2 linked regions of the Schizosaccharomyces pombe genome follow. The protein of the gene in region 1 binds, or shares a complex with, the protein of each later gene. Each region holds a gene or a part of one and is shown in the gene's direction. Other genes may lie near its edges.

Region 1 (3,403 bases):
TCAACTTTTTGTTGATGTTTCCTTGTGTCTATTTTTATTTTATCTTTTTACTTATCTCATACACGCCTTATATCCTTTTTTTTACCTTTTATTAGTTATTCGGATCTACTCGTTTGGATTACTTTCACTTTTGTTTGATCATACATACAATCTTGGTCCTATTTTATGCGTGGGTACTTGGTTTATCCAAATATTTCAAGTGTTTCCATCCGCGATATACTACAGCTATTTAGAACTAATTGGAAACATACAAGTTAAATCTTGTGTTAAAATTACATGCAAAATAATAAGCATCATTAAAATCAAAAAATTTTATCCTTTATTATTTCCGCATTGGTATCTTACAAATTTTTTTGTGTTTAAAAACTAAATCGTGTAAAGCTCGAATTTTAATATTGTTGAGGATCACTAAAAGTGCTGCGAACTTTAAAATAGTCATTAATGGATCACTTATTCGCATGCCTGTGAATACATTCAACTGATTGAACGAAATCAGAATTAGAAATAAACTACTTCTGTTGCCTAATAGTAAAAACCGTTTATATGAAACCAAAAACTAATTTCATCAACATTTTTTTTTACATAATTAATGAGCTGCAAACATTGCAGATGATAATCAAGAAGCTAGAATCCATATTTTGAAAATAAAGATTTAATCATCGTCAGATGATTCATCTCTGTGCTCCTTGTTCATCTGAAACAAATACTTCTGTCACGATTGATTCACGGACAGTTTGATATCGAAAATTGAATAAGCTAGCAAACGAACTTGCTGCCATTGACAAGTTACATTGAGTAAGACAAAGTTGACTAGTTCTGAAATTATGCAGTCAAACAAAGGTTGACCATTGTGTGAAATATCCGCATATCATGAGTAAACAAAAAAATTATTGACTTTGATTATTTGAGCCATGCTTTAGCCGTATTCATGACTGACTAAAGCTGTGTTAATGAGTCACACATTATTACAAAAAGATTATGCGAAATGGAAAAATGTAAACATACAATTACTTTTACAACGAAAAAAACAACATGAGGGTAAAAAGCAAAAAGTTGTATTTAATACTTTTACATGGTAAGAGACATGATGGCGTTAACAACATCACTGTTGTTTTCCTTCAAAGCAGTAACGGCCTTGGCGCGAGAAACATTAGCTTGGGCCATAACCAACTCAATATCCTTAGCATCAACACCAGTTTCATCAACGGCTTTTTCTTGCTCAAAAGACTCCTCTATTTTAGCAGTATCGGCGGGTTGAGCATCGCCGGATTCTTCGGTAATAGCAGCTTCTTCCTTAGTCTCAGTAGCTTGCTTTTGAGACTCGTTGAAGGCACGAGCTTGGGCAGCCATATCTTCAACAGTAACCTTTCCAAGGACGATGTAAGCATTATTGCTACTCTTATAAACAATAGGCTCGTTGATAATCAACAAAATGTTCTTAGGACGACGCATAGCGACACGAGTGATTCCCTCAACACGTTTAAGACCCAACTTTTGAATCAATTTTTGAGCCTTCTCAGCATGGACAACGGTGGTGGATCCAGCAGGAAGCTCAGAAATTTTCTCTACAGGTTGTGATTCAACAGACATTTTGGATCAAAATAAAAGACTATTGTTGTAGTTGGAAGTGATTCAATCGTTGACGCATTCGTTTTTCATGTTTGTCGAACTCTGATATTACCGTGACTGTCTTTTGGGAGCGGTAGTAGGGCATAGCAAACTAACCCTTATTGTTTGATTAGAAAACATAGCTTCAGTTATTACTTATATGTAAGAGAGTTAGTGATAGTGTATAATTAATAGTTTCGGCGCGTCTCTTAATCTCCTTCGAATTACCACGGTTATCGCATATTTTCGTTACATTATTGTAGAATAATTTTTTGTTATTTTGAAACGACAGTTTAAAAAGAAATTTATATTTTAGTACCCTTTCGGTTTTTTACACAGCGCCTTTGCAGAACAAACAAACTATGTCGCTTTCTGGATTATTGCCGCCGAATCTGGGTGGAAATTCGCCCAATGCAGATGGAAATTTGACACCAGAAGAAAAAGCTGCTTTACAACAAGCAAAAATAATCGGCTACATGAACAGGATATCAGAAAGCTGCGTCTTTAAAAGTAGCATGGCCGGTGTACTAGGTTTTGGCTTGGGTGGTATATTTGGTATGTTCATTTCCTCTCTGGATTTGCAACACATTGATCCCAAGATCTATGAGAAGCCATTTCGTGAACAAATTCGTATTCAAGCAAGGGATATGGGTAGCCGCTCATTCTCTACTGCCAAAAATTTTGGTTTATTGGGTTTAATCTATTCCGGTTCAGAATGCTGTATAGAGGCATTTCGTGCTAAAACTGATATTTATAACGCCATCGCCGCCGGTGTTTTTACAGGTGGAGCTTTGGCTGTGCGTTCAGGACCTAAGGCAATTGTTCTAGGAGGCGCTGGTTTTGGTTTATTTTCTTATGGAATTGAAAAGTATATGCACTGGGGAGAATAAATTATACCTTTCATTATTCAATTGACTGGACATTTTTTTTTACCTTCATGTGTTGCTCTTTTAATAGATGCTTACGTTCTGTCTGCGTTAACCGGGTTGACTTCCATAACCTATCATCCATTAGTATAATTCCTTTTTCTTCTGACTAATCTGCACTGTTTACTTTAGCATGATATTCTTACTGTCCTTGTTTACGCTCGTTCATTTACCGACACCTTTCCATTGCATCAAAAATACTTAATTATTAACATTCCTCTTTCTATACCATATGATCATTATATCACTTATTAATTAAATACATCACTGTTTTGGCTTCTTTCTCGCACCGGTTGATAAAGCTGCAGTTGGTGGAAGCCTTGTTATAAAGGAATCACGAGAGTTCGATGCTGTAGTTGTAATTCCGGACGCCGAGGTTGTAGTAGATATTGTAGTGGCAGTTGGGGTTGATGGTAATGCTCCTGCAAGAGCTAATCTAGTAGCACGGATGGGTTCTCTGTAATTGTTTTGATGCGATAGCTGTACCGCTTTCAGCCTTTCAAGAAGGTCCGTCCAGTATGGATCATCCCGCCTTGATCGAGGTAACCTTTCATTAGCTAAAATAGTATTTGTCCTTGGAGTTGAAGAGCACTGAAGTCGATCTCTTAAGGTCCGAAACGCTGAAGACTGAGGTAACAACATCAATATCCCATACAGGGCTTTGTGAAGGTACGGGTATTTTTCAGGCTCTAATAATTGTAAGCGCATATCTAATGTCATTAGTAATATGTAAAACAATTATTCAATTGCACCCACATGTGAAGACCGGGGATTCTATTAATTGAACTAACTTGTCCAACTGTATCAACATATCGATATTAAACTCAATTTCAGCACTAATCACATAGGTTAATAAAAAATTAAAGTTT
Region 2 (9,886 bases), 790 kb from region 1:
ATATAATCAATATACAATTTTTTAGAAAGAGCTGTTTGTATGTGTATGAGCATTAAGAGAAAAGAGAATAGCGCTTCCTTGATCGATACTAGTTAAGGATGTTTAAATTATGGAATTTTGAGTTTGAGTAAATATAAACGAGAACATTCCGAAAAACTCTATTAAAAGTAAAAAAAAACATATTGATAATAAAAGAGCCATTATCTGATTATCGCTAAATAAGTCTACAAACAGCTGTTTGTTTACGAAATTCTTAAAATTAATTATCGTAATAATCAACTTAAAAAAAAACAAGCAGTTTTAGAATTTAAAGAATTATTTTTATTATTTGTCTTTTTTCTATATTGTTTATTTGAAAATTGTGCTTCTGTTTACAGGCAAATCTTAAGGCGGGCATATATTTTTCTGAAACGTAAACAATCAACATGCCCAAATCAAGCAACTTGAAAATGCAGAGAAAAGGCTCTTTAAGAGAAAACGGTCTCGTGAAGGGTTTAAATAAAAATAGTAAGATATAAATTGGTGTGATAAATAAGTTAATGACATAGAATTTTCGATCAGCAAGTTAAAAGAACTATCTCATGCAGATGACTCAAGGAAAAGTCACCGCATCATTAGATCCGGTAAAAGTTCAGGTGAAGCTTACAAGCAAGCTGGAAAAGGATTAATGAACCTTGGTAATCATCTGAGTGACTGGGGAGCAAAATCCAGTAATCTGAGTTTGAATGATATTAGCGATAAAATTGGAGTTCTTGTTAGTGAACTGGGAGAAACAGAAATCGAGTTTGTTAAAGCATTCAATGAAAACAGAATTAAGTTCAAAGCCATTAGAGCTATGGAAGATAGCATCGCACCCTCACGAGCACATCGACAACGATTAATCTCAAGCATTGAACGTGAGGAGGAACGAGATCCTCTTTCTCCTAAACTTACAGATTTACAAAATCAATTAGTAAGAACGGAAGCAGAAAATTTAGTAGGAGAGATGCAGCTTGATAATACTTCTCGAGAAGTATTCAAGTCATCATTTCAAGGATTGATGGATGCTTTCCAGTTAAGAGCACAAAAGCAAATGACTTTGAGTTATTATGCAAGCCAACTTGCTGAATTGATTAATGATGAAGTGGCTTACCCAGGGGATAACCCAGCTGCTTACAGTCAAAAATATGCAACACAAATTATGCATCAATGCGTAGAGTCCATGGCTCGGCTTCTTGCACCAGTAACTAGTGAAACTACTGAACATGTAGGTTCAGATTGTGAATTTACTAGAAAATCGTCTTCCTCAGTGGAATTCTCGGATCATAGCCAAGATTCTGGAGATCCAAGTCAGCAGAATATCTTGCAAGTGAAAAACGTTCAAGCAGTGCTTTCAATCCCTGAAGCTGAATCTTACAAGGCCCAGCTACTTTCCTCTATTGCAGAAGAGCAAAAGAAAAAAGAGTTGCAAGCAAAATCCACTGTTTTCTTGTAGTTATCATAACAAACTAAGAAACGTCAATCGGATTCTCAACCCAAAAAACATGTATGTCTTAGCATGTCGATTAATTGAAGTAAACTAAATTCAATATATTTATCCAATTGATCCTTCCAAAGCTTTAGTAGATAGCATGGTTAAGTTGTTTGATTTCTTTATAGAAAGCATCTTGAAACCAATAATGGAGGATGTTTATTTGGTCTCTACTTATTTAATTTATCGTATCCTTAAAATTTATTGTTCCAATGAGAACTTAGTACTATCGTACAAAAATGTCCTCAAACAGAATTCTCAATATCCCTGTTCCATTTTTATCTTTTCAAATAATAAAAATAAAATAAAAAAATTAGATTTCCTCTTAGGCCTTTATTTTTGCTTAATGGGATAAGGTTGCCTCGAGAGGTTGTATCTCATATACACAAGGTAGAACTTTTGCATACCCCAATTTACTTAACTACTTGGATTTTGGAAGTTGGTGGAAAACTTCTTTCAAAAATCAAATATTCACTATTACAACCTTCTTAATTTTCATTTTGACTTTTAGAAGTTTTCCTTTTTGAAAATCCATATATTGATTCGCAAATAAACGTGTGTATTTCATTTGTGTGAGTTCGCATATTTCATGTTGTGAACTTTAAAAAGAGGGAGAAACCGATAGATACGTTTTTTGGTTTGTTTTTCACAATGTTAAAAACAATAAAGTCTTATATGCCTGGTCGAAATATGTCCATATTTTTGGGATTCGTGGCAGGCATATCTGGAGCAATTTATTATGATCGGCGTCAGAAAAATTTAATAATTGAAAAGTATTGCTCTCAAGTACGCCATTTGGCTGATCAACCGATGGCACCTCTTGAGTTACCGAGAAAATTGAAGGTATATCTTCATGGACCTCCAGGGGATGGAATATACGTTGCACGGGAAGAATTTGAAGAATACATTAGACCTATATTTAATGCTGCAGCCATTGAATTTGAAACCGTGGAGTCCAAAGGTGAAGGGAATTTATTGGAACAAGTAGCGAGGACGGTTTACAACAAGAGGCATAACATTTCTGAAGTTTCTGAACCGGAAAAAAACCTCTTATCAGTTTTAAAACCAAGTGTTGATCCTCCTGCTATTGTTTTATTAGGAAGGCATGCCCTCAAAGAGTTCCTGTACGGCGTTCGATATGGATTTTCCGACGATATTATGAAAAGAAAACTTGAAACAGAAAAATTGGAAGCCAATAATAAAGAGGAGAAAGAAGAGAAAGAAGGAAAAGATGACAAAGATGACAAAGAGGATAGTAATGATACAAAGAACGATAAAAAAATTAGCAAAAACGAAGTAGACTCTTCTCTGATAGAAGCAAGTCCGTTGACTGGTCAAGTTCCACCAAAATTTTTGGATACTATTGCTATTTTTCCCTTACCAAATCTTTTAGGGTTTTCTAACACTCCTAAGCGACTTTCAAGATTTTTTAAAAGAAGAGAGCTAGCTGATGAATTAGGCGCAATTGCCGTAAACGTTGCATTAAGCAGGGATGTAACTAAGTTTCCAAAACAAGACGGCACTTTACTTCTAGCTGAAGAGGAAACAGATTGGCCGAAGCAATTTTTTACAAGATCTGATTTGGAAAACCGCATTTGGACAGCTCCCTTTCTACAGGACTCTGATGAGATACGTTTTTTTGAAAACATTGATATCTTTGATTCAACGAAAGCCAAACAAGATAAGTATGAATGAAGTGATGTCTATTCTAAAATTTGAAGAATAAAACAAATATATGAAATTAAGTACTGTGTATGAAGAATTACTAGGTAGCCATAAACAGTAAAAGGAAAAATAAAAGAATGGCGTATTTATGTATATAAGATAGTCAACAGTAAATGCAAAGGATTTTGGTAAATAAGCTAGTTAAATTAAAAACGTAGCAGCGGCTTCAAAAAACTCCGTTTTAAAGCTCATCAAATTCGTTATCATACTTTTCAAATAAGTTATTGAGGTCTGAATACATTGGTTAGTTTAACAAAACTTATATAGTCTGCGAGATGTAACATACCTTTCAAAAACTTTCCTTTCAACTTTTTAGGAAATTTGACCTCCCACTCTATATAAGCACTTCCATGTGCAGAAGTGGTTTTTCCTTTATGAAGGTTGTAAATTGGCATTCCTTGATTTTTCACTCTCTCCGTTTCCCCAGGATGCACAACTTCGCCAGCTGACCGCTTAACCTCCATAAAGGATCCATCCAGTTTTTGTATTTTACGTTTCCAATTTCCGAGTAAAGCTTCCCTAACCGAAATAGTTTCCTTTCTATATAGATCATTATCTTTTCTAGTCCATCCATAATCACCACCAGCAGCCTCAAGGATAACGATGATATCTCCAGCTTCCATACCAGGAATTTCATCAGCTTTACCACGAAAACCGATACGGTAACCTTCAGGAGCACCAGCTGGTACTTTAATGTCAAAGCTTTCAACAACTTCAGCAACACGCTCACCTTTGCAGCGAGGGCATTTATGCTTGATCGTACGTCCATTTCCATTACAAGCGTTACATGGCATACGCATTTGCTGACGAAAACCTGGAGCGATCATGTGTTCAATGACTCTGAACCCTGAACCACCGCAAACAGGGCAACTTTCGATAGCTTTATCAGCGGAGTATTTAGGATTAAAGCCCTGACCACTACAAACACTGCAAGTTCTCTTCACCGGAATTTCCAAGGTAAAACTGCCTCCGGTGTAAAAAGATGAAAGATGAATTTGAACTATTTGCTCCATGCTAGGTCCTCTGCGAACGGCATTTTGACGTCTACGTCCGCCAAATATGTTATCGAATATATCACCAAATGGATCAAATCCGAAACCTCCACCTGGGAATCCTTCACCTGGACCACCACCAGGACCACCAGGTTGACCGTTTAATCCTTCTTCTCCATAAGCATCATAAATCTTACGTTGCTCAGGATCAGAAAGGACTTCATGGGCCTTGTTAATTTCAATAAACTTCTCCTGTGCTTCTTCATTACCTCTAGAACATTTATTAGCTTTAGGCTTTCATTTGTTTGCATGCTTGTTTAACTTACGGATTTTTGTCAGGGTGCCATTGTTTCGTCAATTGTCTATATGCTTTGCGAATCTCAGATTCAGATGCATCTTTACTGACTCCAAGGATCTGTTTTTGAGAGAAGTTGTTAGTGAACATTTTTCTTTAATTTTCTTCTCAATCCTACGATCACATGCACTTACTTGATAGTAGTCAGCAGCAGATACAACTGCTTGAATGCAAACTAAAAATCCTAATATAAAATGAAAAAGATTGAAATGCATTAACTATGTTTAGGAAGCGAGTTGGAGTTTAGCTCACTTTAACAAGGGAATGGTATTATGTAGAAAGATTTTCTTGAAGAAATCCAGGACAAGTTTGCAACGCCTCGGTATACTCATCGCCGTGGTTATCGAAACCATAAATTTAATTTAACATTGTTTAGAAATGTCATAAAAGTTACTATATGAAAATATTTTTATTAATACAATTAATCCATTTCAAGGATCCACATAGGTTATTTAAATAGTCCAAATAGTTGATAATTTTATATTTGTTTCAACGAATATCGGGTGGAATTGTTGGTAGCAATATTTCGAAATATTTTTACATGCTAATTTTATTACTAAATTTTTTAGTTCCAAAAACCAACTACTCATTATTTCAGAGGGTAAGTATGCCTTTAGTCATTTGAGGCAGAGTAAGGATGATAAATAATAATATAATATCTATGTACACGTAAATACATATACACATAATATATATAATATAGATAGATAGATGTGGGTGTTCAAACCTCTACACATATGTACGAGAGTCCAAATAACTAAAAATAGACTGACAAGCAGTATTCAACGACCTTTATGCTCAAGGAACGCATAATATCATCGGAAGTGATCAAAAGACAAAATGTTGAACGAGACAAAGATTATAAACGGAAAAAAACATAAAAGCAAAGAACCTGTGCAAATATAAGATATCATTGCTTTAATCACAATAAGTAACCTCCAGTTTGACAATACGCGAAGAAGCCTAAAGAAAAGTAATTATTTCAAACGTACATTTTACAGATTTATAAAAAAGGATAGATTACCGGGAAGGAAGAAAAAATGCAAAAGTTAACCCTGCTAGCAATTCTAAGAAGAAGGATTTGGACAAAGAAATAAAATGAAAAGAAAGTGTATAATTAAATGAATGAAGCACAGAAAATCGTTACGGCACAAAAAATAAATCACAAAAACACTTTTGTCAACTGAAAGCCTGATTATCCATACCAGTCTGAAGAACAAAATAATCAAGAAATTCCTAAATACTAGTAGAACATATTATTCATGTGTCTTCATTGGAGCCAGAACAACAAGAAAGAATACTGGCCCAAAATGATTTTTTCTTTTTAGGTGCTTCTGTTTCTTTCGTAGCATTTTGTACTTGCTCTCGGGTAACCCGTTCTTCAGAAGAATCATGAACATCAACGGGTGCTGGTTGATTAGTTGCTAAACCGGAACGATCAGGCACAGTTGTGGTAGCTTTCGTCTCCGTTGGCGGATTAGGTAAAGAATTTTGATTGGGTTCAGCAGAATCGCTTGCAGAATTCAGATGCGGCTCGGCAAAAGGCTTTTCATAATCAGAGCGTTTGGAAACTACGTTCTGAGTACTTGCATGATTTTGCAGGGCTGGTGACTTTGATTCCAATTTGGGTGCTGGTGGTTTGCTTGAACGTTGATTTTCTGTCTCTGCGTTTCGCGACTTCAAGCTTTGCCAACCTTTACCGTTATTCAATAGATTCCAGTCAAAATTTTCATCCTCAGTAGTATTTAATCGCTCTAGGACTTTCGAAAATAGGCCTTGCAAATAATCATAATCTGGAGTAGCATCGAATGCCAAATTACGAGCATAATGCATATACTTGTAGAATTCTTCCGGGAAACCAGCACACAACTCGCGTAACGGGGTACTTTGCTTTTTCTCACCAATTCGTTCATATTTTTGCTTATTGGTGGCAGCCTTCAATCCTTGCCAAGGTAGGCTACCTCTAAGAAAATACATGAATACATGACCCAAGGCTTCCAAATCGTCTCGACGGGATTGCTCCCGACCCAAATGAGTATTAATAGACATGTAACGAGCAGTACCCGAGAGGTTCTTTTTCTCCCGGTAAGGTATGTGCTGTTTGGTAACTGGATCACGATAAAATTTTACCATGCCAAAGTCTACTACGTAGATCATATTAGCATTTTTACTGTTTGGTCGACCGATCAAAAAATTATCAGGCTTAATGTCTCGATAAACGAGACTCTTCTCATGGATAGATTGCACTCTTGCCAACATCTGTTTTGCGGCCATAGCAACTGTTTTTACACTAAATTTACGGCCGCAGAGATCGAGCAAATCTTCTAAACTTGGCCCAAGAAGGTCAATCACCAAAATGTTATGTAACCCTTCTTGGCCAAAATAATAAACATTCGGAATACCCGTACATCCTGCCAGCAACTTGTAAGTACGGTATTCATCACGTAATTGAGGAGCATCACTGCGTCTTGGTTCCTATAAGCAAAATCAATCAGTAATGAAGGAAACAAGAAAAATATCCAGCTTCAAAGCATGGCATCAAATGGATTCTCACTTACAAATTTAATGGCTACTTGTTGATTATTCAACAAATTCGTCCCTTCAAAAATAACACCAAACGAGCCTTCGCCAATTCTTCTTCCAACTTTGTAGTGGACACCGACTACATTGTTTTGTCCACTCATTATCTTTGAACGATTTGTGCTGGAGATTTGTCAAATATGATGTCTCCGTTTTCCGCTATCGAATGCAAAAAACTAGGTTGTAAGCGATTCCTGTTTAAATACTTTTATGAATTAGATTGAATCACAAAGATCTCCTATACAAACCTTGAAATTACAACTATTCAAGCCGTTATTGAGAAAAGAGGTGGATGGTGTTGGAACGGATGTTTTTAGTGGTGCTTTAGTTACGGAAGTGTCATGTGCATCACTTCCCTCTATTCCTGCCTGATTAAGGGGTTAGGTAATGCTGTCTTTGGAATACAAACACTGTTTCAAAACGTTTAAATAAACATACTATTACTAGTTTTCATTGCAAAAATCAATCGATAGCTAAGTTTTTAATTTTAAAAAATCCCGGATATTAAAATCCAACTTACAACGAAGTACTTTCATTAAGTAATAATACCGTATTTTCATATGCAAGGTGCATTCTTAAATAATAGAATCATTTTGCAGTCATATCACATTAAAAAACGCTTGTATAGCAAACGCACTAGCTCGTTGCATTCGCGCTTCTTGCAGCCAACATATCGCAAAAATATTTGTCAAATTTCCAAACCCATTTTCCAGCAAGACTTATCAACGAATACGAGTATGTTTAGATTCAGTCTATCAAGTTATCATTTCTACAATTTACATGTTTAAGTTTCTTTTTGTCGATGTGTACCTCAGTTTTTAAACTTTTACTAATATAAAGATTTCATCTCAAAATTGAAAAGTCCATTCTCCAACCTCAAAATGTCGAATTTAAAGCAGCCCCTTGTTTGGATTGATTGCGGTTAGTGAGCTTTAGTATAATCTTAGCTTTTAAAATGCATTACGATGGTTTTATAGGTAACTTGTACTAATATGATTGAAGAGATGACCGGGTTAGAGGTGGGAAAGCATGTATTGATGGAGGTCGCGGCAATCATTACTGATGGAAATCTTCGCCCCGTTGAAGAGGTAACTTTTAATTGTGAACATTGAAACATCGGCTTTTAACTTGAGATGTTTCAAGAGAAACAAATGCATGGTTTCGAAGTTGAGCGTTTATTAAGGCTGTCATACTAACTAAGGCGTAGAAATTTGATGCTGTTATTAAACTCGACGAAAAGCAATTGAGTGAAATGAATGACTGGTGTATTGAGGTATCTTTTCTTGCTTTTAGTTCATTCACGGATGTCAATTTTCTAATTATACTAATAAACAGCAACATGGGAAAAGTGGTCTTACGGAAAGATGTAGACAGAGTAATTTAACAGTGAAAGACGTTGAAAACCAGTTGTTAGCATACATTAAAAAATACATTCCAAAAAAACGAGAAGCGTTAATCGCTGGAAACAGTGTCCATGCAGACGTAAGGTTTTTATCTGTCGAGATGCCAAAGATAATCGAACATTTGCATTACAGAATTATCGATGTTTCTACTATTAAGGAATTAGCCAAACGCTGGTGCCCGGATATTCCTGCTTATGATAAAAAGGGTGATCATCGCGCATTGTCGGATATTCTTGAAAGTATTGGTGAACTTCAACATTACCGCTCTTATTGGCTTTCTTGAAACATTGCTCAAGAAAGAAGAATTCCACTTTTACAGCAATTGACAATATCTTGTAAACATGCCAAAAAAATTAAGGGTACTATGCTAAGAAAAAAATAAAAGCAAAATCATACCTCGGTGATCTTACTTTTTTGTAAAGAATGAAGATATTTTCGTCATTCCTTCTCCTGAGAAGTATTTGGACTTCTTGGTGGCCTGCTTCCGATTGGGCTTTTTTAAAAGACTTGATGTAATATCACTGTTTTGTGGACGTTTTTTAGAATTTAACAAAGCTTCCTTTTCTACCAAAATCTTTCTTGATTCTTCTAAGTTTTTAGTGTAAGCGTGCAGTGGGGCCAATTCTTCCTGCCAGTAGGCTAATTTGTTATACCATTCAGGTTGAAGATCTTCACAAACCAATGAAGCGGCATGCCACTTGCATGACAATTCTAGTAAATCTTGTGGAAGCGGCGTGCGGAGGTCCAAAGGCGCTAACTGTTTTTTAAGTTCGGTTACAATACTAGGGGGAAGATTTTCTTGAGCAACCTTGGCTTTCCTTAGTAAAATTTTAACAACAGAAGATTCATCCAGTTGAAAGGTCTTGGGCAAAGATCCTACTGGCTCGTTTACTTTACAAATCCGATGTAATGTGTTCAACAAATTCGGAGAGAGGACTTCTGACACTCGTGGATAATGAGGACCCATATTATCAAAGTGTTCAATGAAGTCTTCAAACGAGACATATCGATTCGGTTCTTTCCGGCGACTCCAAGTAAGTTCCTGAATGATTGGAAGCACAAGCGCGAGTAAGTCTATCGGGGTGCAAACATAGAGATATCCGTCCGATACTACATGATCCCCTACAAACCAAGACCTTTGTTTTGAAGAATCCCCAACTTGAAGGATTTGTAAAAGGTGATCGTTTGTTAATAAATAACGAAGTGGTCTCCCGGTCAAGGGATGTGAGAGTTCAACAAATTGTTGATTTGTAGAATCTTTGGGTAGTATGAATATCTTTCCCTGCATTTTTTAAGTTTAAATTATGAAACCCCAAAATTT

What was found.
Region 2: tim22 (region 1) and tim54 share a complex: the UniProt entries of both Schizosaccharomyces pombe proteins name them as parts of the TIM22 complex.

The regions. Positions count from the first base shown.
Region 1 is NC_003423.3:3,273,889-3,277,291, forward strand, and holds tim22 (TIM22 inner membrane protein import complex subunit Tim22), read left to right. Parts: upstream 1-1,740; 5' UTR 1,741-1,970; coding exon 1,971-2,498; 3' UTR 2,499-2,798; downstream 2,799-3,403. Other genes in the region: nascent polypeptide-associated complex alpha subunit Egd2, read right to left, coding at 1,069-1,590; vac14 (phosphatidylinositol synthesis protein), read right to left, coding at 2,799-3,244, 3,291-3,370. UniProt on the Schizosaccharomyces pombe protein: Essential core component of the TIM22 complex, a complex that mediates the import and insertion of multi-pass transmembrane proteins into the mitochondrial inner membrane. In the TIM22 complex, it constitutes the voltage-activated and signal-gated channel.
Region 2 is NC_003423.3:4,065,869-4,075,754, forward strand, and holds tim54 (TIM22 inner membrane protein import complex subunit Tim54), read left to right. Parts: upstream 1-1,920; 5' UTR 1,921-2,161; coding exon 2,162-3,205; 3' UTR 3,206-3,299; downstream 3,300-9,886. Other genes in the region: sporulation specific PIL domain protein Meu14, read left to right, coding at 426-507, 549-1,474; DNAJ domain-containing protein Scj1, read right to left, coding at 3,417-3,466, 3,522-4,498, 4,554-4,642, 4,717-4,797; serine/threonine protein kinase (CK1 family) Cki1, read right to left, coding at 5,843-7,057, 7,141-7,266; rex2 (RNA exonuclease), read left to right, coding at 7,723-7,897, 8,003-8,083, 8,165-8,250, 8,370-8,435, 8,498-8,848; rnh202 (ribonuclease H2 complex subunit), read right to left, coding at 8,972-9,853. UniProt on the Schizosaccharomyces pombe protein: Essential component of the TIM22 complex, a complex that mediates the import and insertion of multi-pass transmembrane proteins into the mitochondrial inner membrane.